Linked DNA regions of Coturnix japonica. The protein of the gene in region 2 interacts with the protein of the main gene of each other region in a pairwise test. Links are inferred from orthologs where the notes say so. Each region holds a gene or a part of one and is shown on either strand. Other genes may lie near its edges.

What was found.
Region 1: the proteins of COIL (region 2) and PDZ and LIM domain protein 5 interact in binary tests that used the Homo sapiens proteins (3 or more experiments, as listed by UniProt). The two-hybrid records come from large-scale screens. The link is inferred for Coturnix japonica from reciprocal best matches to the Homo sapiens genes COIL and PDLIM5.
Region 3: the proteins of COIL (region 2) and POLR2L interact in binary tests that used the Homo sapiens proteins (3 or more experiments, as listed by UniProt). The two-hybrid records come from large-scale screens. The link is inferred for Coturnix japonica from reciprocal best matches to the Homo sapiens genes COIL and POLR2L.
Region 4: the proteins of COIL (region 2) and BYSL interact in binary tests that used the Homo sapiens proteins (3 or more experiments, as listed by UniProt). The link is inferred for Coturnix japonica from reciprocal best matches to the Homo sapiens genes COIL and BYSL.
Region 5: the proteins of COIL (region 2) and SNRPF interact in binary tests that used the Homo sapiens proteins (3 or more experiments, as listed by UniProt). The two-hybrid records come from large-scale screens. The link is inferred for Coturnix japonica from reciprocal best matches to the Homo sapiens genes COIL and SNRPF.

What each region holds. Positions count from the first base shown.
Region 1 is NC_029519.1:52,358,865-52,363,635, forward strand, and holds part of PDZ and LIM domain protein 5, read left to right. Parts: intron 1-528; coding exon 529-615; intron 616-1,278; coding exon 1,279-1,434; intron 1,435-2,238; coding exon 2,239-2,370; intron 2,371-4,771. UniProt on the Homo sapiens protein: May play an important role in the heart development by scaffolding PKC to the Z-disk region. May play a role in the regulation of cardiomyocyte expansion. Isoforms lacking the LIM domains may negatively modulate the scaffolding activity of isoform 1.
Region 2 is NC_029533.1:7,745,991-7,751,278, forward strand, and holds the start of COIL (coilin), read left to right. Parts: upstream 1-2,062; 5' UTR 2,063-2,099; coding exon 2,100-2,350; intron 2,351-2,898; coding exon 2,899-3,994; intron 3,995-4,788; coding exon 4,789-4,875; intron 4,876-5,252; coding exon 5,253-5,288. Other genes in the region: SCPEP1 (retinoid-inducible serine carboxypeptidase), read right to left, coding at 652-741, 1,357-1,481, 1,935-2,043. UniProt on the Homo sapiens protein: Component of nuclear coiled bodies, also known as Cajal bodies or CBs, which are involved in the modification and assembly of nucleoplasmic snRNPs.
Region 3 is NC_029520.1:8,951,108-8,954,810, reverse strand, and holds POLR2L (DNA-directed RNA polymerases I, II, and III subunit RPABC5), read left to right. Parts: upstream 1-1,913; 5' UTR 1,914-1,996; coding exon 1,997-2,091; intron 2,092-2,234; coding exon 2,235-2,343; 3' UTR 2,344-2,527; downstream 2,528-3,703. UniProt on the Homo sapiens protein: DNA-dependent RNA polymerase catalyzes the transcription of DNA into RNA using the four ribonucleoside triphosphates as substrates.
Region 4 is NC_029541.1:4,735,289-4,740,556, forward strand, and holds BYSL (bystin), read left to right. Parts: upstream 1-1,767; coding exon 1,768-2,153; intron 2,154-2,234; coding exon 2,235-2,373; intron 2,374-2,580; coding exon 2,581-2,714; intron 2,715-2,900; coding exon 2,901-3,061; intron 3,062-3,266; coding exon 3,267-3,369; intron 3,370-3,500; coding exon 3,501-3,849; 3' UTR 3,850-4,115; downstream 4,116-5,268. Other genes in the region: MED20 (mediator of RNA polymerase II transcription subunit 20), read right to left, coding at 1-33, 946-1,199, 1,364-1,515, 1,660-1,769. UniProt on the Homo sapiens protein: Required for processing of 20S pre-rRNA precursor and biogenesis of 40S ribosomal subunits. May be required for trophinin-dependent regulation of cell adhesion during implantation of human embryos.
Region 5 is NC_029516.1:41,569,310-41,573,555, reverse strand, and holds SNRPF (small nuclear ribonucleoprotein F), read right to left. Parts: upstream 2,160-4,246; 5' UTR 2,006-2,159; coding exon 2,003-2,005; intron 1,919-2,002; coding exon 1,793-1,918; intron 1,692-1,792; coding exon 1,627-1,691; intron 1,153-1,626; coding exon 1,086-1,152; 3' UTR 1,027-1,085; downstream 1-1,026. UniProt on the Homo sapiens protein: Plays a role in pre-mRNA splicing as a core component of the spliceosomal U1, U2, U4 and U5 small nuclear ribonucleoproteins (snRNPs), the building blocks of the spliceosome.

The DNA.
Region 1 (4,771 bases), on a different chromosome or scaffold from region 2:
ATTTGATAGGAAGGTGACTGTTTTAGGAAGTTGAAGAAATCATTCACCTGCCTTTCAAAGTTTTGTTATCTGTGTTATAAAATGTACATTTCTGATTTGTCCAGTAACCAGAAAGTTCTGGAGCAAAGTACAGGCATTGACTTGTGAAGTGGCAGAGCGTTAATTATTCCCAGTAGTTACCAATAGTGAAAGATGGCTTCCCTCACGTTCACCCCTACTCCTTCTGAAAGGAGGGAGGGTAGAAGAATTAGAAGATAAGACTTTATTGGAGTGAGCACTGGGAAGGGGGATACGTGTATGTGGGTTCATTCAATTGCAATGAACAATTTGTTCTACCCTTCTAACATGCAGATTAGCACGCTAGTACTTAATAATTAAGGATATTAAACCATACCTGTTTTTTTATTGGCTCAGGAGTGCTTGTAGAAATCCTTAAATGAACTTCTCTTGAGCTTTAGCTAACATCTCTAGAAGTATAATAAGTATCTGATTAATTATTTCGTTTTTTCTCCTACTGCTTTTGGGCAGGCATGATGCATCTGTGCCTACTTCCGAAACAAATGCTTTTGGTATTATCTCAAGCTGTCAGTCTAAGTCATCCATAAGTCACACAAGGTAAATCTTTCAAGGCATAGCTATGGCAGACTGCTTGGGGGTATGCATCATTTTCAAGCAGAGATTTCTGTGTGTAAATCCAAGAAGGACTGTAACATGTGGTTGTATAAATGGAGGTATTTGGAGTCTTCTGTTAATTTTTGAAGTGATTTAAAAAATACACAGCAATTCTGTGGCCAAAAAAGAACTTGAATTATATATCACCAGCATAGAGCTGATGTTCCTTCCAACGAGATAATAGGGGAAATGCTAAGGGGTGGGAGAAGCGTGCTGCAGTTCTATCAACATTTTTAGTGTTTATTTATTCTAAAAATATGGAGTGAACTAACTGACTTTTAGGACTTTTACCACTGACACCATAGAGAATTAGTCATAGGCAGAGGGTTCATTGGGAACAAGCTGAGGGTGACGTGTAGCCTAGGGTGGACAGCTGGAAAGCTGGTAGGTGCTGATCTCTGACTTGATGAGTGGAAACTTATTTGTAGGTAAAAGCAGAATTGCTGTTTTCTGTGTTAGTGTTGAAGTTGCTAATATGTTGCCCTGAAATCTTTGAGAGCTGGTAACCTACGGTAGCATCACTTTCCAGTAGTTAATGCTGTACAGTATTGTACTGTTTCTCTGTCAATCTTTTCTGCTTTCTTTGTTTTCTCTGTTGGTTCAAAGCTTGTGTGCTAGAACAGTATTTCTGGGAAGTACTTCAGGAAGTCCGGCCAAGCTTGGAACTGCTCCTGTTCCTGATTTTTCTCCTTTTAAGCAGAGATCAAAAATTAAGAGTATGGCTGCTGCTGCCGTTTCTGCTGCCATTGCTGTCCATGCCAGGTAGAGATCAGCTCTAAAGGGAACCTTTCATAGTTTGCTTTAAGAATGTCTAAGCTCTTTCACAATACTGTGGTAGGCAAGTTGTCAGTATTACCACAGCTCCTGTGTCCTTTTATTTTAGCTCCAAAGTACTGCTCTGAATCTCGATTCTCTTCTCTTCATGGACATCCGTGTTGTGGTTCAGTCAGTAAACCGACTGAAAATAACAACTGTTGTACAGATGACAAAGAATTATCTGCATCAGTCAATAGCTTTTGGATGCTGAAGACTACAACTGGAGAGTTGAATCTAAATCTTTATCACATTGCTCTTCATAAGGGATTACTTATTTAAGTGGTCTAAACTTTGTTGACCATGCACATCAATCAGTAATGCATATATATAGATATATATGATTTCTGAACATGCATTCCTAATATATGTATATTTTCTTAATTACTAAACTGTATACATGACATGTGCTAATGGATTGTGTGCGTTATGGAAAACACACAAAGCCAGAATAAAAAAAAAGAAAAGAAAAAGAAAAAGAGGGAAAAGATTAAATAAACCTTTAAAATATTTTATTAAAAATAAAAAATAAAAGATAAGTATATTTCCCATACTGTGGTGAGTTTTCTTGCACACTGGAGTGTGTACACACCACTTTGGAGACCACCTATTTGAATAGCATTTCTCAGTTCAGTTTGTCCATACTGCTGTAGAACCTGAAGAAGTTTACTTGGCTTTTCAGCTAATCCTAGCCAACCTGATTGCTGTTCAGTCAACTAATTTCTATACGTGGTCTTTTCAAATGCTTGTTAGGCTCTCTGATCCTAGTGCCTACCGCTTGCTCTTGGATGCCCTGCTCATCACCCCTGTCACTAAACCTCCTCTGCAAGCCAGCAGGCCCTCCAGGAAGTCAACAAGTGCTCTGGAGCTGACAAAGAACAAGAGGTATTGTCCTGGTGTTTCATGTGGTTGACACTGAGGACTTGTGAAGAACCAGCTTCACCTTCAAAGCCTGTTTCTGTTGTCTGCACATTTTCAGCAGTCTGCCTGTTGTGGTCTTTGGCACAATGTCCCCAGCCCCAAATCCTGTTGGTTTCACCTGTTTGCAGAACTAATCTGCACCCTGGTCCTGCCAATGCTATTTGTATAAATCTACCATACTAAGTGCAGGTGGGCATCTGGTGCACTTCTGAGAGGCATGGTGCTGTTTGTGTTGTGGTGGTTGGCACTGTCACTAAATAGCTGACTAGAAAATAAATGGCACACTGGCTCGAAAGCCCTATCTGGATGAATTATTTGCAATGTTTTCTTGGGCAAGCAGGCTGTATGTTAGGCTAAGAGTGCTCCTGGAGCACTGCTATTTTTCAAAGCTCGTTTTTAACGTATGAAATCAAATAACTGGCATGTGGTGCAGCAAATAAGTCCTTTAAAAATTATTTGCTGTCGAGGCTTTTTGTTCCAACTCTGATTCTGTTCAGTGCACAGGACATTTTGTTCTTGTTTCCTGACCACAGCTATTTTAACACCAGCTCCTGTGAAAAGCTGATGCTTTGTAATCGACTTCAGCCTCAGAAGGGAAAATCTTTGGTGGATATTTTAAAGGACAGTACGTATTAAGCTGTTCTGAGGGAGACGTAATCTGTGGATTTTCATGTGTTTACTTGTGTTTTCACAGGAGTAACTTCAGGAGATAAGGCTCAATTAAAGATAGAGCTTGATATAAAATAAATGTGTTACGTATTAGTCATTCACCTCTTTCATAGCTTCCAGGGTGACTTGAGTCACTGAAGAAGGTTAACTCAGCCCTGACTTTTGTGAGGAAAGTGGTGATATTTGACACACCAAGATAATGTTAAGCTGTATCAAAATTTCCCTTTTTTGCCTGTTCCCAAAGAAAAATTCTCTGTAGCAATTCTGATGTCTGTGCAACACAGACTAAGTCCAAGACATGCTGCCAGCAAGACTTTATTCTTCATCTGTGTTATTTGCTGCTACTTTAGTAGAGCAAATAAGGGTGGTGAAAATTAATTCTCTGACTTTACTTTGCTCACTGATGTTCTGTGTTTGTGGCATAAGCTGCAAGTGAAGTTAGCTTGTTAGAACAATGTAAGCATTTAAGTTGTTGACTGTGAACCTGGCTTTGTTTATCCACTTTTTGCTCACAGTACAAGTAGAAACTCTCCTGATTTAGGAAATGTACTTTTGGAGATGTAAGTGCATAAATAACCGGTGTTGATATAAAGCTTGTGCACAGCTTACTCGGGTAACAATGTCTGATTTCCTTGTCATCTTGAGCTGTCAGCTGCACTTAAGGAAGAAGAGATTGCCACTAGATGGAGCCATAGAAATGAGGCTCTGCGATGCCGCATCATAACTAGAGAAAGAGCACAGTCTCATTGTATAGACTGAATTACATGTAGCAAAAGTGGAGGTAAAAAGCAAATTATGCTTACAATTTAACATCTGTATGTATGTATTATCCCATAAGTTCAACACAGAGCATGTAAAAACAATTACATCAAAAGAAGGAAAATGTCAGATTGTGAAGAAATGAATCCACGTGCAGGATGGATATTAAAATGCTTTTGCATTACCATCAGTCTAATGACATATTGTAATGTCTGCACAAATACAGTGCTGAAAAGTTGTTTTGAACAACAACTCACTTAATGCCACAATGCAATAGCTGGTGTGTGAGTAGAGCTAAAATCTTATGTCCATAAAGAGATGAGGGTAGGGCACTGCATAATACACTGACTTGTTCAAAAATCAACTGGCACAACCAAGACAGACAAGGTAAATAAGCTTCAACAACTTCAAGTTTTGCGTTTTCTAGCTGTATGTTAAATACTTTTCTCAAAAGGGCAATGAATCTATTTTACTGAGGTAGCTTATGTTTGCATTGTCTTCAGGGAAAAAGTCAAGATGGTTGTAAAGGAACCGATGTCTTTAATATCTTGACTCTTTAAGAACTGAAAGTTTTCCCTAAAACTAAACCACTTGGCAAAAAAAGTCAACCCTGAAGTTTTCAGAAATGTTAGCAAGAATAGATTTAGATATGGCTTTTGCTTTAGGTACCAGACCCAATGCCATGTACAATTACTTGAAAAGAAGATAGTCTGATCCTTTGGGAGAATATTTATTCTGAAAGAAGTTTTGTATTCTTTCTCTGCAGACCACTGCATACGGAAGGGTAACATATGTCCTTACTGTAACTTGATGTGGAAATATTTCTGCTCACATGGTTCCCTCTGCTTTCTCTTTTATTTTGTTTTGCCTTTTTTTTTTTTTTTTTCCCCTTTCTTGCAAGTTTCTGGAGCCCTGTTAGGCTAATACAAAATGTAAA
Region 2 (5,288 bases):
CAGCAAAAGCTATTAGATGGTGCTAAGCTGTACAGTTACAAGTGCACAAAGAAAATCAAGGGATCCACACACAGATGTTAGGAGGACTCAAAGCAGTAAGGCTTATTTAGAAGAGACACAGTGCAAGGTCCTTCCATTTGCCCAATGTGCAACAGGAAAGGCAACCAGAACTCCCAGCCATCCAAGGGCAGCTCACCCATGCGACCCAGGGACCTCCCAACTAATTAAGGCTACTGGTTGCTCAGTGAATAAACCTCTACCTCCACAGGCAGCTGTAATTACAGCTGGTTTCCCTTGAAGGTCATACAAGGCTTGTAATTACCAGCCACTGCTTATACATTGCCAGCCACCCAGAAGAGCCCTTAAGACTACAAGCAATGAAGCTATGAGCAGAAGTAACACACACAGTTCACATATTCATGATGGTCTACATATTCCATCAGAACAAATGAACAGGCCTACTCTTCAGTTCTTAACAAGGTTATTAGTATAAGCCATTGTTATTAGCCTGACTATTTTAAGATAAAGGTTCATAGTTCTATTGAATTTCAAATGGAAACTGTTCAGTGCCCACTTCAACCTAGCAAGCACCTGCTTACACAGGCAATACGTTTTGCAGTTGATAATTACAAGCTGAACTCTCAGCCATACCCAGGTAGTATTTCTTGGTTTCAGCTCCTTGTCCAACGGACCAATCTCTTCGAAGTTCCCAAACCCACAGCCTGAAGATCCCGGACCTCCCTAAGGGGAAAGAGCAAATAACTGAGTTAGGAGGCAGCACGCCATAGATGAGGGAGACAGGAGCAGAACAAAACAGCACAGTAAGCACAATTTCATAGGGGAAGTCAAAGTGCCCTTTGCACTCCTCAGTAACTTGCAGAGAAGGCTCTGTTCCTCACTGTCTTTCACTATGAGCTGGGTGCCGTATGAGAACTTTTACCCCAATTCCTTTAATCCCAAGTACAAAAATTAGCCAAAACACAGAAGTCTGTGAGTCACTGGGTTATTTTTCTTAGCCAGCATTTACAGAACACACATTTTACCCCTTGATAACACAGAAGGGAAAGGACCAAGTCAGCAAGTGATCACATCTAATGTTCATTTCTGAAACACAGTCCTGGAGGTGAATGCAGAGCACACAGGGATGGCTGCTATCAGCTGTGACTGAATGGGACCAGTCACGGTGACAGTCAGTTTCTCTCTGTTGTTCCCTTACAGAACTTACTGTACTTCTCTGCCTGCTCTGCCCACCCCCACAGGCTGCAGGTGCCACAGAATCACACAGCACAGGAGCTCATCACAGCCACCAGCAGCGTCTGCTCCTGCACCGTGACTGGGGGATGTAATTCCACTCACCTGCAGCCACAGGACGAGCGGCAGTTCGTTGTACCCCGCACTGTAGTACAGCCACCAGAAAAGATGCGCCTTGCTGCGGACCTGCACGTACCCCCACAGCTCCCGGGGGGGCTCCAGAGCCGCTCCTGTGGGCAGAAAGACCGTCAGTGGGGGAAACACCAGGAGCCCCACCGAACCCGGCTCAGAACATCGCGTTTCAGCCTTGGGTGTGATAATTAGAAGGGCTTCAATTAAGAAACTACCACAAGGAGCCCGGCTGTAGATATACACACACCCACAGCTGACTGACCGGCCACCAACGAACCAAGAGCGGCGGGGAACGAAGCGCGGAGCTCATCGGCCGGCACCGCCCCGCCTCGGGACGGGCCATAGGACCGCGCTAAGGCCGCCCCGCTCCGCAGGGCACCGCGAGGAGACGGAACACGGGGGTTGGAGCTACATGATCCTTGAGGTCCCTTCCAACCCGGGTAATTCTGTGATTCTGTGATTCTGAGACACGAGAGGACAGCGGGGATCGCCCCGCTCAGCCCCGAAGCGCTGCCCACACACTGCAAGGGGTGCCCGGACACGGCCCGTACCTGCCACCAGAGCCGCGATCAGCGCCATCCCCGCAGCAGCCCGCCCCGCTGCCATCCCCACAGCAGTTCTCCCGCAGCTCCAGTCCCGCCCCTCTCTCTCTCTCTCCATCCCGCCCCTTTTGTCCCCCTCAGGCCGCCGTCCCTCCTCCCCTCCCTGCCCCCAACATGGCGGCTGCTGTCGGTTCCCCGCTCCGGCTGCGGCTGCAGTTCGATTTCCCGCCGCCGGGCAGCCCTGGCTGCGCGCTGTGCTGGCTGCTGCTGGAGCCGGGTCAGGCGCGGCTGGTCACCGACCTGCTCAGCATCATCCGGCACCGATTCGGCTTCAGCCGCCGGGCCCGGCTCAGCCTGTTCTTGGACGGGGCGCTGCTGCCGCCCACTGAGAGCGCCCGGCTCGTGCGGGACAACGATGCGCTGCGGTACGACGGGATGGGAGATTTTGGAAAGGGTCCAGAGGAGGGACAGGAAGATGATCAGGGGGCTGGAGCACCTCCCCTATGAGGACAGGCTGAGGGAGTTGGGTTTGTTCAGCCTGGAGAAGAGAAGGTTGCGGGGTGACCTCATTGCAGCCTTTCAATACCTGAAGGGAACTTACTCCCAGGAGGGGAGTAAACTCTTCGAAAGGGCTGACAATAGCAGGACACGGGGAAATGGTTTTAAGTTAAAAGAGGGAAGATTTAGGTTGGATGTTAGGGGGAAGTTCTTCACTAGGAGAGTGGTGAGGCACTGGCACAGGTTGCCCAGTGAGCTGTGGGTGCCCCATCCTTGGAGATGCTCAAGGCCAGGTTGGACGGAGCCCTGGGCAACCTGATCTAGTAAAGGTGTATGTTTGGTGGCCCTGCCAGGCAGGGGGTTGGAACTACATGATCCTTGAGGTCCCTTCCAACCCGGGTCATTCTGTGTGATATGGGGGCGGTGTGAGCGCAGTGTGAGCGCGGCTGGATGCTGTTTGTTTGTGTCTCTTTAGGGTGACGCTGGAGGAGATCACGGAGGAGCGGTGCGAAGAGACGGATGGAGAGTGCCGGGCACAGAAAGGTGATAAAACAAGGCACAAACGGCGGCAGAAGGAGCGAGAGGAGGAAAAACATCAGAGGGAAAAGAGGAAGGAGAAACGTGAACCAGAGTGTTCGTCCGGCAGAGAGGACAGCGCCGGGGATGGATCCGACACCAGGAAGAAATCCAAGAAGAGAAAGAGAAGGGAAGAGAACAGCGGGATGGTTCCAGAGGGGAAGAAGGGCAGAGCCCCGAGGCTGCAGAAGGCACCGGCAGCCAAAGCAAAAGATGGGCAGCAGGCAGTGCTACCTGTGTCAAAGGCGGCCCATAAACGGGTGGGCAGCGCTGCTCTGACCCCCAGTAATCGGACACTGGAGGCCCAGAAGCAGAGGGTGGGAACGTCGGAGTCCTCCAGCACATCGTCCGACAGTGACAGCGCTGAATCAAACGTAAAGCAAAGTAAATCCTCACACAGACCTGCAGCAATGGTGCTTCCCAGAGACAAAGCACAACCTGCAGTGACTGCTGCTGCTTGTAAGCAAATGTCGAATGCTAAACGTGGCAGTAAGGATGCAGGTAGTAAAAACGCTAAGAAACCGCAGTCCTCCAGTTCAGATTCGGACTCAAGTTCCGAGGATGAAGGAGCAGCACCAGCACAAGGCAGAACTGCAGAGCAGGCGCTGCCCAACAGCACAGCAGTGGCACAGACTGGGGCCATTGGGGCTCCCAAAGCCGGGAGCTCTGAGTCTGAGTCCGACAGTTCCGATTCAGAAACACTCGTCATTAAAAAACCTGCAGCCAATGCTGGACTGAGTAATTCCATAGCAAGAAACGGCTCCAAACAGTCACCAGCAGGAGTCCAAGGGCTGGCTGCTGGGCTGGGGCGTGGGAGGGGGCGTGCAGCGGGAGCGGGGAACTTCTGGAGAGGACCGAGGGGCCGCGGGTTCCGGGGGATGGCGAGGGGCTGGGGCAGAGGAGAAAGCACGGGCTTCTTCTATAGCTACAGCAGTGAAGGCCAGAAACAGAGGCAGCTGGATGAAGCTGTGACAAACACCCCTGTTCCTGTCCAGGTGAGTGACTTACGCAGTCATTGACCAGCTCTCTGTCACAGCCTTAACTGTATAATTAAGTACAGCGTGAGGGTAATTTGGAAAAGCTGAAGAAAGGTAAGTAGGGTAAAGGCTGATAGATCTGAACACGGTACATTTGATGTTTGCAGTATATGTCCTGCAGAAGAACTTATGAAACAATAAGTGATTGTATTGGTGGAATAATTGCTATGGGCAACTTGGAATGAAGGCACAGCGCTGTTCATAGCAGAGTGCAGCTGAGATGCTGATCCGCCAGCAGGTGGCACTGGAGGTGGAGTGGAGGGAGACTGCAGCCAGGTTCTGTGATCCACAGCAGCTCCCTGAGCAACCACAGTAGTGGTGTTGGCAGCATCTGGAGGACTGCTGTTAGTGGCTGTAATTGCAGTGCTGGGATGGATGGAAACTTGGTGGTACTAAGCTGCAGATGTGCTACCCTGGGTGGGCAGCCTGTCATTCTTAGACAAAATGCCGTCCTTTGGGTGAACTTTGCTCATTATGCACTCGTTATAATACCAAAGCACACCTCCATCCCCAAAGATGCCCACCCCAAGGAACAACTGCCCTCACTGAGCACTGCTCTGAATTCTTTAGCCTGTACCTTTAAAACCTCTTCCCCCCCCCCCAGGTGAGATTCACACACTTGGTTACACTGAGAGCTTTTATGGGAAACTCATAAATCTCAGTGGAGTTGTTTGTGACCCAGCACACGTGTGCCAGGTTGTTATTCTCAGCTCTTTGCAGACTGAATTTATCAGCAGCTCTTTGTTTTGCAGAATGCTGTGGATGTCCCCAAGAGAGACTACAGCGTTCTACCACTTCTAGCTGCCCCACCACAAGTGGGACAAAGAATTGCCTTTAAGGTAAGGATCTTTGGAAGTACTGAACGTCAGTAGGTCAGCGCTGTTTCACTTGGGCCCTGTAAGTTTTGCAGGGAACCATACACAGTCCTGCCAGCCAAAAGCCTGTATCAATAGGTACACTTCCAAATAAAATGATTTTTTTTTTTAAAGAAGCAAAGAAAACTGAAATAATTGCTGCTGAGGAGACTGGACTTTTCTCCATGATCTCCTTTCACAGCCTGACCTGAGCAGGAACCCTTCAGAGCAGTGAGTCCTGGCAGGCTGTGATAGGCACTGGGATCTGGGTGCCTTGGTTTCTGTGCTTCCCATTGCTGAAGGAGCTGTGCCTGGGGAAGGGATCAGGAGAAACCGTCATTAATTTGTGTTTCTTTCAACAGCGCTTGGAACTAAATGAAAACTACAGCCCTGAAGTT
Region 3 (3,703 bases), on a different chromosome or scaffold from region 2:
GAAAAGGCAAATTCAAACGCTGTGAAAACAGCAGAGGAAAGTTTCCTTCAAGAGAGATGCAAAGTTGCATGTGAGAACTGGGTGGGAAAGTTAAAACCTGCTTTCGTTTTTAAAAGCTAAACAAGAGCACTTCCTCCGGGCAGCTGCACGAATCCAGCCTACATCAACAATAACCCCCCACCCCACCACCACCATCCTTTCTCCCTCCCATCAGCAAATGTCTGTCTCCAAATACAAACGCCTTGCACGTCACAGTTCAACAAGAAAATTGCTTTGGAGCCCTGGTGCTGAAAACACATCAAAGCATCGTCTCCAAATTCTCAACTTCCCTCCCCCAAAAGAAAAGAAAGCAAAGGAGAAAAAGAAAAGAGAGTTTGGCTCCCACTGGCCTGAAACAACAATAACGATAACAATCTGCAGGAGGTTTCTCCACCCTCCAAGCCAAGCCGTGCTGCTTGCACACAGCTGAGTGCAATCACTCCCCGGGGCTGCAAAAATCGCTGTCTTTTCATTAGGAAACGTTTGCAAAACCTCCTTCAAACAACCTCGCCGGTTAAAACGAAACTATTTGCTCCTCTACAGTTCAAGTTAGGTCTGCGCGGAGGGTCAGCAACCCAGCGGTCCAAAACACAGGCACGAAAGGCGTATTAACATAAGCTGTGCATTAAGACTTTATACGCCTGACAGTAATGGCTCTGCGCCGCGCGCCGTATCAACTCGCAGATGCTCCAGCAGCAAAATACAGTATTTTGGGTGCATCCCCGCTCTGCCCAAGGACAACCGTGAAGCAAGAGGGCACTAAGGACCGACAGCGCTCGGGGTGACGCTTTAACCCAGTCTGTCCCGAACAGCAACGTGCCGCCCTCAAGTTACAAGCATCGCATAGCGCAGCACTCCGCGCGACGCTCACACGGGAGGATCGCACGCGGCTTCACGACGCATCCCCCGCTGCAGCCCAACTTCCCCGGCTGGGGGCAGCCAGTAAAGCTGCAACGCGACGCTCGCGGTGCCACGGCCGCCTCCACCCTCCGGGGAGCGGGATAGCGCCTCAAGGACGGCTTATGCCCCGTTTGCTTTCGCTGCGCGCGGCTCGCCGACAGACCGAGGAACGCTACAGCGGGCAGCCCTGAACCCCCCCACATCACCCCCCACAGCCCCCAGACCCGGAGTTCAGCAACTCCCGACTGACCTGCCGCCGCCACGGGACCGCTAACCTCGCTTACCCCGCTGACCACGGCAGCGCTCCGCAGCCCGGCTTCCTCCAAATGAGCGGGCAACGCCGCGCAAATCGGCGCCGAGCGCAGCTCACGGAGCGCAGCCCCTGCCCGGCTCCTTCCCCTTCCAAAGGGGAGCGAGGACACGGAGCAAACCGCCCCAAATTGGGGACGCCAACACAGCCGCGAGACGGACCGCGCCTGGCGCTACCAGTGCGCGCACCGGGAAGGGAAAGAAAAGGGAGGAAAAGGGAGGGGAGTGCGACGTGCTGCCCCGTCCCACAGCGCTGCCGTGCCCCGCTGGTTGGCGCCGGGCTGCAGCCACCAGTTGCGCTTCCACCCCGCGCGGCTGCGGTACCTCGAGCAGGACGCGATGAAGAAGTGCCTTCTGCAGAAGTCCGGGTGTAAAGCAACAAGTGAGAGCGCGGAAGGAAGGAAGGAGGGAGGGAGGGAAGGGCACGGCGCCTCCTCGGCTCGGCTCAGCCCGCCCCGCCGGTGTCTCCGCTCTGCGCTCCGCCGGCCCCGGCTGCCACCACGCGCCGCGCACGCGAAACGCGATCAGCAGCCCGCCCCGCTCGCAAACACTATTGAGCCGCGCAAGGAGCCGTAGGGCGGCCGCTACCATCCGCCGTCCTGTGCGGGAACGGGGGAGCTCCAGCGCCGCTCTGCATCCTCACGGCTGAGCAAGAACGGCTCGCACCGCCCGTGTCCCCCCGGTGCAGTGGGAGCGGCCGTAGGGCTGCGCTCGGGCAGCTGCAGGAGGAAGCGGCGCTGTGCGAACCATGATCATCCCGGTGCGATGCTTCACGTGCGGCAAGATCGTGGGCAACAAGTGGGAGGCGTATCTCGGGCTCCTGCAGGCGGAGTACACCGAGGGGTGGGTGTCATATTAACAGCACACGCTAATACCTTGCTTTAAACTAAGCTCAGAGCAATCATTGCGTTGCTTAGGAGCACTTACGAGCGGTTCTGACTCGTTTTGTATTTATTTCTTTTAATCGTGTTGTTATTTGTTAATAGAGATGCCCTGGATGCCCTCGGATTGAAGCGCTACTGCTGCCGCAGGATGCTCCTGGCACACGTGGATCTGATTGAGAAGCTGTTGAATTACGCACCGCTGGAGAAATGAGAGTTGATTGACCCAGCCACCAGCTTCTCCCAAGGAAATAAATGAAGGCCGACATCCACTTCACAGCTACAGCTTACATATGTAGATGTTTCTCTTTAATTACATACAGGTTGTTATTGGTTTCTTTTTGTGAACTTTAGGATGCTTTTGCCCGTAAAAAATAAATGTGTTTTATGAAATACAATCATTTGTCTATGTAAAATGTTGAACTAGAGGAAGCCTCTGCCTGTGGCCTTCCTGGAGTTGCTGGGTAGAGTTCAGCATACACTTCCATCTCACTATTTCCTCACAGTGGTCATTTTGAGGTTAGAAATACAGTGTTTGAAGCTAGGGCAATCAAGGGGGGTTAGAAAGAGAGCAAAGTTCCAGGCTCCAGAAACAGCACAGAGGATGTTTGTTTGCTATGAATGAGGCATTACTCTTAGTAGGTTGCAGTGCTAGCGGAGCTCATTTTTTCACTGAAGTCAGCCTATAGTGTCTTGTTAAAAATTGGGGCAGACTGGCAGCTCCATCACAGAAAACAGTAAATCAGGTGGCGCAGTGCTCCTCACTTAGGTAAAATACATCTGAAGGCAATGGATGTGAGAATTAATGCATGTAACTGTGAACAGGATCAGAGTCTTGCCAAACACCTGCACTGCTCTGTTGCTGGTATGAGTGCAAGCTTCCCACTTGTCAGTCATTTCATTGGCTTCATATAGGATGTATGTGCAGCCTGGGACTGCCTGGCCAAAACAACCCACCTTTCCACTGCTTGCTGGATCAGACTTCTCTGCTCAAACCTCAAGAAGAGATTGTCTCAGAAAGAACAGTTAGAGGACAGCCAGCCTCTGGCTATAGCTACTACCCTACCAATCTCTACACTTGATCTAACTTTTCCATTTATTACAATGGGATAGTGGCTAAGTTTTCTCATATTCAGCAGTTCTGCAAAGACACTAAAACCACATACTTCAGCCTAATGCAAAGAGAATTAAGCAACTCTAGTATCCCCTTCAGTTTGCGGGATAGCTTTTGTTCTGTGTGACTGCCATATTACACAACAAAATTCACTTAATAACAACTCTTTCTGGCTGTCTTTAAAAAGGGACACTATGAAATATAAGATGACTGTTTCCAGCTAAAATCCTGTAGGACCTTTCCATGTTACAGCAGAGCATTATGTGGAGATGCATGTAAACTTGCACACAGGAAGCTCCAAATGCCAGGTACTGAGACAGCACAGCAGCCCAGACCGCTGCCTCCAACTGAGGTGGCCAGGCATCAGCACCAAAGGATCAGAGAGCCAACAGAGCTTTGTTTCTTACTCTGAAAGCAAAGCAGATACCAGCACAAGGTTAAGTTAATTGATAAGAAAAGC
Region 4 (5,268 bases), on a different chromosome or scaffold from region 2:
GTCGTTGGCGATCACACAGGGGCAATACTCCACCTGGCAACAAAAAACAGCCCTAAATGAGATATGCATCAAGAGTTTGAAGCCAGCAAACACCTCCTCTGTACTGCACTGCAGAGGGATAACAGTGCTTTTCAATTGAGAACATTGAGCACATAACAGCAGAAGGACAAACATGTGAACAGGACACACAGGGAATGTGCAAACCAGCTCCTCAAAAGAGAAGAACAAGAAAGGGAAATTTCCCCTTTAGGTTCATCCGTCATTTTAAACCCCCAGCAGTGGAAATCCAACGACAAACTTCTCTCCCAAGAGTCGCTGTTAACAGCCTGTGTGGCCACGACATCTCTCAGATGTGTGATGATAAAGCCTTGGGATTTAAGGACTTGCGGTTCCAGACCAGGGATTATGTACTAATGGACACCCAGAAAACAACCTACTAAACCAAAGCAGAAGCAGCCGGACTGCCAGGAAAATCTGGTCCTGGACTCAAGCTTAGGGTAAAACAAGCTTCTCTTTAACCCCAGCTCAGCAGCAGCTCGCACCACTACATCTGTGTTTATTCTTATGAAGCAAAACCAAGGCATTTCTCAATCCCATCCCTGTTAGCTCGGAACACCTGCCTGGGTAGATGCGCCATCATTATTAATTACAGACCAGTTAATAGGATTTGTGTGTTTAGGGAAACACATGCTCAGATTTTACAAGACCTTTCAGCACCTCATCTCAGATCTGGGGCAGCACTGACAGCACAGAGCTCTGTGACCAGGAGAAAGCAGCTTTAGAGCCAAAGCTGCAGCAGGAGGGCATTGAATGCATTAATACAACCTGCCAGCAACGAGTAACACAGATGATACATGGAAGGGATGGGGACTCAAGGTTTCTAGCCAAGCCTCCAACATGGGATTTCCCTGCCCTGGATTTCATACCCTTAAAGGTGATTCTCACCTCCACGGATATCCCGCGGGCGCTGGGGCCCATGGTGACGGTTCCCACCTTGACCAGGAAGTCGCAGTACTGGTACCGCGTGCCCCGGCTCTCGATCTTGTTTGCCTTGGCGTTCTGGAAGAATCCCTTCAGCTTCACCATCAACGTGTCGAAGTTGGCGTCCGCGATCAGGCAGGGCCCGTTTTCAAACAGAGCGAAGCAGCTGAGGGGATACTCGGAGTTGTGCATCACGTACATCAGTTTGCCCGTCTGCCCTGAAAGAAAAGCAGCGTTTGGCCCGTTCCTTTGACACCCACCCTTTAAACATTCGTATGGGTTGATAAGCGCCCCCAGCCCCTCTCAGCCTTCTCCTCTCCATGCTGACCAGCCCAGCAGATGCCCCATGTCCGCACTACACCCGCCCCCCCCGGGTTCCCACCTTGGCTGCTGATGGCGGCTGCCGTGTGATACGTCTCACAGTCCACCCCGAACGCTCCGTGTTTCTCGGCTCCCAGCAGCTCCAGCTTCTTGCTCAGCAGCTCCACGGTTTGCTGCACGCTCTTACCCTCCAACACGGGCACCTGCGTCACGCTGCGGGGCGACAAACAGCAAAAATGGCCGCGGGGCCTCCACAAAACCCAAACCCAAACCCAGCCCCAACCCCATCACCCCATCACCCCATCCATCACCCCATCCATCACCCCATCCATCACCCCATCCCCACCGGCCCCTCACCAGGTCACCCCCATGGCTCCGTCCCGGCAGTGGCGGTGCCGGTACCGGAAGGGGCGGGGCTGGCCGTGCTGGCGCCGGCGCGTCTGATCGCGTGTCGCTGTTGCGGCCATGCCGAAGGCGGCGCGTGTGGCGGAGCCGCTGCACGAGCAGATCCTGCGGGCTGCGGCCCCCACGGTGCGGAACCGGCGGGCGCGGGACGCGGGGCGCGATGCGGAGGAACGGGACGGCGGATACGTGGGGCCGCGGTTGTCCCGGCGCATCCTGCGGGAGGCCCGGAGGCAGCAGGAGGAGCTGGAGGCCGAGCACGGCCCCGGGGCGCCCGCACCGACAGCCCCGAGCGGGCGCGGGTCGGAGGAGGACGATGAGGACGAGGAGTGGCCGTCACTGCAGCGGGCGGCGGAGTGGGACGGGACGGGCGGCGGGGGGGACGTGCAGGTGGATCCCGAGGACGAGAAGGCCCTGGAGATGTTCATGAACCGCGCGGCGCCGCTCAGGTACCGGAGGAGGGGTGGGAATGGGCGGGGGGTGGACGGGGAGCTCCGGTTCCCCATCACCGACCCCTGCCGCCCCCCCAGGCGGACGCTGGCGGATGTGATCATGGAGAAGATCACGGAGAAGCAGACGGAGGTGCAGACGGCGCTGTCCGAGCTGTCGGGCCGCCCCATGCCCCAGCTCGACCCCCGCGTGATAGAGGTGTACAGAGGCGTCAGAGAGGTGAGGGCACTGCGGCCCCCCCGGCCCCACACACACCTTTGTGGGACCCCCCAGCTCCCGGCGGAGCAGTGCAGACAGCACTGCTGTGTCCCTCGGGTGTTGTGAGCACATACGTGCTGTGTGAGCACACGCAGTGGAGCTGCACAGGGAGCAGACAGGTTGCTTACAGCCTTGAGACAAACCCTTCCCCCTCTGCTTCCATTGAAGGTGCTGTCCAAATACAGGAGTGGGAAGCTCCCCAAGGCATTTAAAATCATTCCTGCCCTGTCCAACTGGGAGCAGATCCTCTACATCACGGAGCCCGAGACGTGGACGGCAGCAGCGATGTACCAGGCCACGAGGTGGGACCAGCTCAGTGTGCTCTGAGCTGTTGTTTTCTCCTTGTAATGGAACGAGATGGACAAAATACCATCGTGTGTCCTACAGCTGCTCCTCCTGCCCTGTGCCTGTGGAGCAGAGGGGATCCTGATGCTGGGGGTGGATGGCTCTGGAGTCACAGCTCACTCTTCATGCTTTGCATTTCACAGGATATTTTCATCCAACCTGAAGGAGAGGATGGCCCAGAGGTTCTACAACCTGGTGCTGCTGCCACGGGTCAGAGATGATATCGCTGAGTATAAGCGCCTCAACTTCCACCTCTACATGGCTTTGAAGAAGGCTCTGTTCAAGCCAGGAGCCTGGTTCAAAGGTAGGGGCTCCCTGCAGGGCTGCACTCCACCCCTGGGAACCTGCTGCAGGGCAGGGCAGGGGGAGGAAGGTGGAAAGGTGCCCATGATGCAGAGATGTTATTTCCTTGGGTTAAATGTGCCCTGAGAGAGCAGAGATTGAGCCTCACACCCCACAGCTCTGCCTGCTGCAATGACCAGTGGTGCCCAGCTCTTCTCTCCCCACAGGGATCCTCATCCCCCTGTGTGAATCGGGGACCTGCACACTGCGGGAGGCCATTATCATCGGCAGCATCCTCACCAAGTGCTCCATCCCTGTCCTGCACTCCAGGTAATGCACTGGGGCAGTCACTGCCCCTCAGCCCATCCAACAGCTCAGAGTGGGGGAGCTTTGCTCAGGGCTGATTCAAAGCCGTCCTTTTTGTGCCCTGCCCTCACCTGCTGCTCCCCTTGTCCCCACAGTGCAGCCATGCTGAAGATTGCTGAGATGCCATATAACGGTGCCAACAGTATCTTCCTGCGGCTGCTCATCGACAAGAAGTACGCGCTGCCGTTCCGTGTGGTGGATGCCCTGGTCTTCCATTTCTTGGCCTTCCGCACAGACCAGCGCACGCTGCCCGTGCTGTGGCACCAGAGCTTCCTGGCTCTTGCCCAGCGCTACAAGGAGGACCTGTCCTCGGAGCAGAAGGAAGCTCTGCTCGAGCTGCTCAAGTTCCACAGCCACCCACAGATCTCAGCCGAGATCCGCAGGGAGCTGGTGAACTCCAAGACACGGGACGTGGAGGGGCAGGAGCCGGCAGTGATGGAGTGAGGGGAGGAAGGAAGGAAGCACCACAGCCTGGCCTGGCTCCTGGGGGCTGCTGCACAGCTGGGAGCAGCACGTCCAGGGGTCTGGGAGCATCCAGCCCTGGGATCCCACTGCTCATGGTGCTGTAACCACGGGGCTGGGCTGGGCTCCCTGCGCTGCTTGTGTCAGGGCAGCCCTACAGCCCTGGCACCCAGGACAGCAGTAGGGCTTGTCCTGCTCCTGTTCTGGAAAATAAAGCCCGTGCTGGGTCCTTCCTGGAGCAGCTCTGACCTGCAGTTGCATCTTTGTGTGGCTGCATCCGTGCATCGTCCTGCCCTGTCCCCCTCCCCTCGTCCTGTCCCCAGCAGGGGGCAGAGCAAAGCCACCAACAGCGGCTCCTTGCAGCACTGCGCTGCAGCTGTCCCGGCTGCAAAAGGAGACCAGGGGCTGTGCAACTCCCTGCCCTCCTTGTGCTCTGGTCAGCAGCGAGCACGTTCCCAACTGTGCTGTGCATTAAGCAGCCTCTGTGATGTTGGGCAGAGGGGCTGGGGTTAAACATCTTCCTGTGAGAGGTGGGGGCAAGGGGCAAGGCCATAACCCACACGTGGCAGCTGCCTTGAAGTGCCACCTCTGCTGTAAAATCCAGCGGGGCATCGCACAAGGCTCCGCGCTTACCTGGGTGCTCACCTGGACACTACAGCTCCTGCAGATGTCCAGCTCCTGTCCTTGCTCCTGGAAGCATCACGGCCCATGGGGAGCAGTCCCTGAAGCTTCGTGTAGTGCTGAGCACCTCCTGGCTCCGTGTCTCCCCGTGGAGCAGAGCAGCACCTGGGGCTGCTCACACACTGCAGCCATTTTTTTTTAATCTTGGCTTCCTGGTTCATATTTCCTTTCTTTAAAAAAGCCAGAAGCTGATAAGAAGAGAGATCGGCCGAGCTGCCAGCAAACACGCAATGCAACGCGCTCACCTTCCTGCTGCACAGCCCCGTCTGTGCAGGGAACAGCAGCAAAGGGAAAGCCCTGACACCGCCGTGCTCCTTTAAAATACTTTATTGCAACATTACACGGTACTCCAACTTTCCCAGCAGCAGGACTTGCATGTGAACACCACAACAGATTACTCTTAAATTAAAACTCACTCATATATATATATATAAAAAAATCTGTTTGTACAGACGCTCCTCGCAATTCATCGGCGGTGAGAGCACAGCAGCCCCAGCTTTTTCCACCTGATAAACTTGTTTCTGGTGGCACCCAGAGCAGGTTCCCCCCCAGGAGCAGTTCAGCAGCTGCTCTGTGTGCAGGGACACCCCCAGCAGCGGCTCTCTGGCTATTCCTGGTTAATATGAGTCTACAATGTATTGGTTCTCTCTTAGGAAAGCAGCATTATAGAATGGTTTTTTTTTTTCTTTAAAAAACACTTTTTTTTTTTTTTTTCCTTTT
Region 5 (4,246 bases), on a different chromosome or scaffold from region 2:
GGTTATGGGGTATGATGGGTACGTTGGCTCAAATGCCGCACCACCGAGCAATGTGCATCTTCATTCAGAGCATTCTCCTTCACCAGGCACACAAAAAGCGAACAAGAGTTGGAAGGTGATGCTGTGCTGCTCCCAGGAGTTCCTGCTGCTTATTTTGGCCTTCCCCACCAGTATCACAGTATGAATGAAAACAGAAATCAAAGAGCGGCAACAGTGTGAGCCAATGTGTCAAGCATGTCGCACAGCACACTGTGGTGGAGCTCAGCACAGCAGGTCAGTCCTGCCCAGCATATACTGGAGCTTCCCAGTTACACTGAAAAGCTAACACTATCACACAGGTGTTTTCATGATGATGGCACCACCTGCTGATGAAGCATTAAGATGAGGCACAGTTGCAGTGCCCTACCCACAGCTCAGTGAGCCACGCTGATATGGGAGCAGGTTCTGTTTACACCTACTGTGCTGGGGAGTTTTAACTCCACAGCTGGGTCACTGCCTTTTTGCTGTATTTAATCCATCTGTAGCACTGAAAGTATACCTGTGTATTTGAGAATAGATGTAAGACAAATGGTCACTGATGAGACAGCGCAAAGTCACACACAAATCCATGAGGTACAGCCATTTGTGTTTTGGCTTGTAGAACCTCTCTCCAGCCTAGAGATGCAAGTAGATCCTTCACAAGGGGAGGCTCTGACTAGCAGCATCAGCAAAGCAATGGTTACCTTTAGGAAATGCTGATAGGTACAGAACAGCTTCGGTTAATGTCAATGGTTGCTCTTAACATTTGAGAAAGCAATTATGTTCCTGCCAAAACTTCAGTTATCTGGATGCCTGATAACAAAGAGTGGCCTGTTGTTAGTGTTTTGTGTGTTCTTTCCATAATACTGCAGATTGAGATCAGGCATTCCCATTCCACAGGCTGTTTTAGCTCTATGAATGCCACTGAAATTCATGACTCTTTATAGCCTCTGGGTGAACTCCCCCCATAGTCAAATACAAGAACAAAATAAACACCTGATGACAACGTTGTGGAAAAGAAAAAAAAAAAAAGAAAAAAAACCCTTTATTTCCAGATATACAAATCATCATTCTCTCATTTCTCCATCTTCTTCCTCTTCTTCCACACCTCTGATGTACAAAACATTATTGCACCTGTAAATAGAATCAAGAGCTCCCTTAGTTGAAATGTCTTAATTTCCCTCGCAAATACAATGTTCACTTCACATGGGAGTTACAGCAGCATTTAGTGCTCCAATACACAGAATCACACAGAATCACAGAATTACCCAGGTTGGAAGGGACCTCAAGGATCATGTAGTTCCAACCCCCCTGTCTGGCAGGGCCACCAAACATACACATTTACTAGATCAGGTTGCCCAGGGCCCCGTCCAACCTGGTCTTGAACACCTCCAAGGACGGGGCATCCACAACCTCACTGGGCAGCCTGTTCCAGGACCTAACCACTCTTCTAGTAAAGAACTTTCCCCTAACATCCAACCTAAATCTTCCCTCTTTCAACTTAAAACACAAGCACATCCCCTAGATCCACCAGCTTCAACAAAGCAGTAACACAAGACACAGAAGTCCCCACAAGACCCCGTTCCCCAGCTCAGGCACCACGATTACCTTATCAAAACTTCTCCCAGGTGTCCAGACAGTGCTCCATCGATGTACTCTTCTGTGTTTGCAAGCTTGGAACGAAAATCAGCACAAACATTACACCAACAGGAGCCTCACTACTGCTTCCCTCCCACAAGCAAGCAAGGCCCGGGTCCCTCCCTCCATCCCTCACCTGCATGTTCATGTAGCCGTCGACGGAGACGAGGTATCCCTTGTACTCCATCCCCCACTTCAGCTTCACCATCACCGGTTTCCCCGTCAGCCCGTTGAGGAAGGGCTTCGGGTTGAGCGGCAGGCTCTAGGGGAGAGCAATGGTCAGCACCGCCCGCCATCCCAACCGCTAACGACAGCCTCCCCCCACCCTGCCCTGCCCTGCCCTCACCATGGCGATGGGGCGCGATGGCGGCCCGAGAAGCGCAGAGCCAGGCGGGATCGCCTCGTGCGCGCCGCGGGCTGAGGCAGAATGGAAGGCAGCGCTGAGATACCTTCCACTTCCACTTCCGTGCCGCCGCGCCGACCTCCAACCTCTCACCCCGCCGCGCCGCCTTCGCGATTGGCTACGGAGCCACGGAGCGCGAAGGGAAAAGGGGTTGTGGGCTCAATCTTATTAGTTGGAATGGCCGCCCTCCTCATTGCTCCAGCCAATGGTCGTATACCACCTCTGGTTGTGTCGTCTGTGGTGGCCGGGGGGTGGCAGCGCAGCACTGTGCCGCCGCTCTGCTCTGTTAGGCCTTTGCCCCTCCATCCCTCTCCTCCCCTTCCCTGTCCACCTCTCCCTCAGCCCCCGGCTGCCTCACACCGTGTCTTCTGCAGATCCAGAATGTCCCCCCTCACATCCCTACCTTTATGGATGGATAGGATAAGAGCAGCAATTACGATTCTTCTTAATAAATGTTTATCTGAAGTGCACTCGTATTTGTTTCTGTGATAATTTATAATGGATGTGTTTGTCCTCATGTGTTGGCTGGGGAACAGAGATAACGTTAAAATAAAGCTTTTTTTTTTCTTTCTGACAGTAAAACTCACTGGGCGCCAGTTGAAAGAGAATTGCTTATAAGTTTATTGCAAGGAAGTTAGTGCTGAGGATATGTAGGAAATAATAAACAATGTGGGAAATCGTGTATATGGACGGTTTTCATGCCCCTTGCAGCAAAGAATAGAGAACTTGGAGTGAAAACATACAAGGCGTCAGAATGCAATGAGCTCAGCATGAGTCCTTTGGGTTAAAGGCCATGGAAGACTTGCACTTTTCTGACAGTTGTTAATGGTGTATATGTGAATGACAATAGAACAATATGAGTGTTTTGTCTGTAAACAGCACTTTTTAGGTTTGGAACCAACTTTTATCATGTCTCCTACTTGTGTTGGGAAAGCTGTGTACCAAGAAGTACAGGACCAGCTACATTCTTTTCTTCATATAGTCAGTTCCTCTGATGCATGACTTGGAGAAGGACTTGGGGGTCCTGGTGGATGAGAAGCTGGATGTGAACCAGCAGTGTGTGCTTGCAGCCTGGAAGGCCAATGGTGTGCTGGGCTGCATTAAAAAGGGGTGGCCATCAGGGAGAGGGAGGTGATCGTCCCCCTCTGCTCAGCTCTTGTGATGCCCCATCTGCAGTACTGTGCCCAGACCTGGAGCCGTCATCACAAGAAAGCTGTGGAACTCTTGGAATGGGTCCATAAGAGGGTCACTAAGATGATCATAGGGGTGGAGCACCTCTCCTATGAAGAAAGGTTGGGGGAATTGGGCTTGTTTAGCTTGGAGAAGAAAAGGCTCCGGGGAGAACTCATTGTCGCCTTCCAGTATTTGAAGGGAGGGTAGAAATAGGAAGGGAAACAACTGTTTATGAGGGTGGATGGTTGTAGGACAAGGGGGAATGGTTTTAAATTGAGATGGGGAGGTTTGGGTCAGATATTAGAAGAAAGTTTCTCACACAGAGAGTAGTGACCCACTGGAACAGGTTGCCCAAGGAGGTTATGGATGCCCCATCCCTGGAGGCATTCAAGGCCAGGCTGGATGTGGCTCTGGGCAGCCTATTCTAGTGGTTGATGACCCTGCACATAGCAGGAGGATTGAAACTGTATGATCATTGTGGTCCTTTTCAGCACAGGCCATTCTATGATTTGATGATTAAGTATTCCAGCCCTATTGTTATAAAATCACCAGAAAATAGAAGCATTTCTCAAAGTCATAGGTATCAGTATTGGAGTCATAGTTGGGAGTAGGAGTGCTTAGCTTCTAGTTTCATAATCAGTGCAAGAATTCATGTGTCAGTAACCTCATCAGCTACAGATGAGGTGTTGCCTGTTGGTAGGGTAGAAAGATGTCCTGAAAGCACAGAATGGATGACTGCGTCTGCTGTAGGTAACTGCATAACTTGGTTAATCAAGAAACAAAATAGTTTTTTCCTTTTTTCCCCCTGTGAGGAATTTGCTGTTTACTTTGTTGACTGAATCATTCTGAGTCACAGGATGGTTTGCTTACGTGAGTCTTCTTGTGGCCTTCAGCAGAGGGGTGAATTTCACCTTTTGTCCTCTATGTGTTTCCCCATGTAATAGGAGAAGTAATAGTTTGCATTCTTTTCTACCTTTGGCCCAGGATATTTAGGATGTTGCTCAACGGGAAATG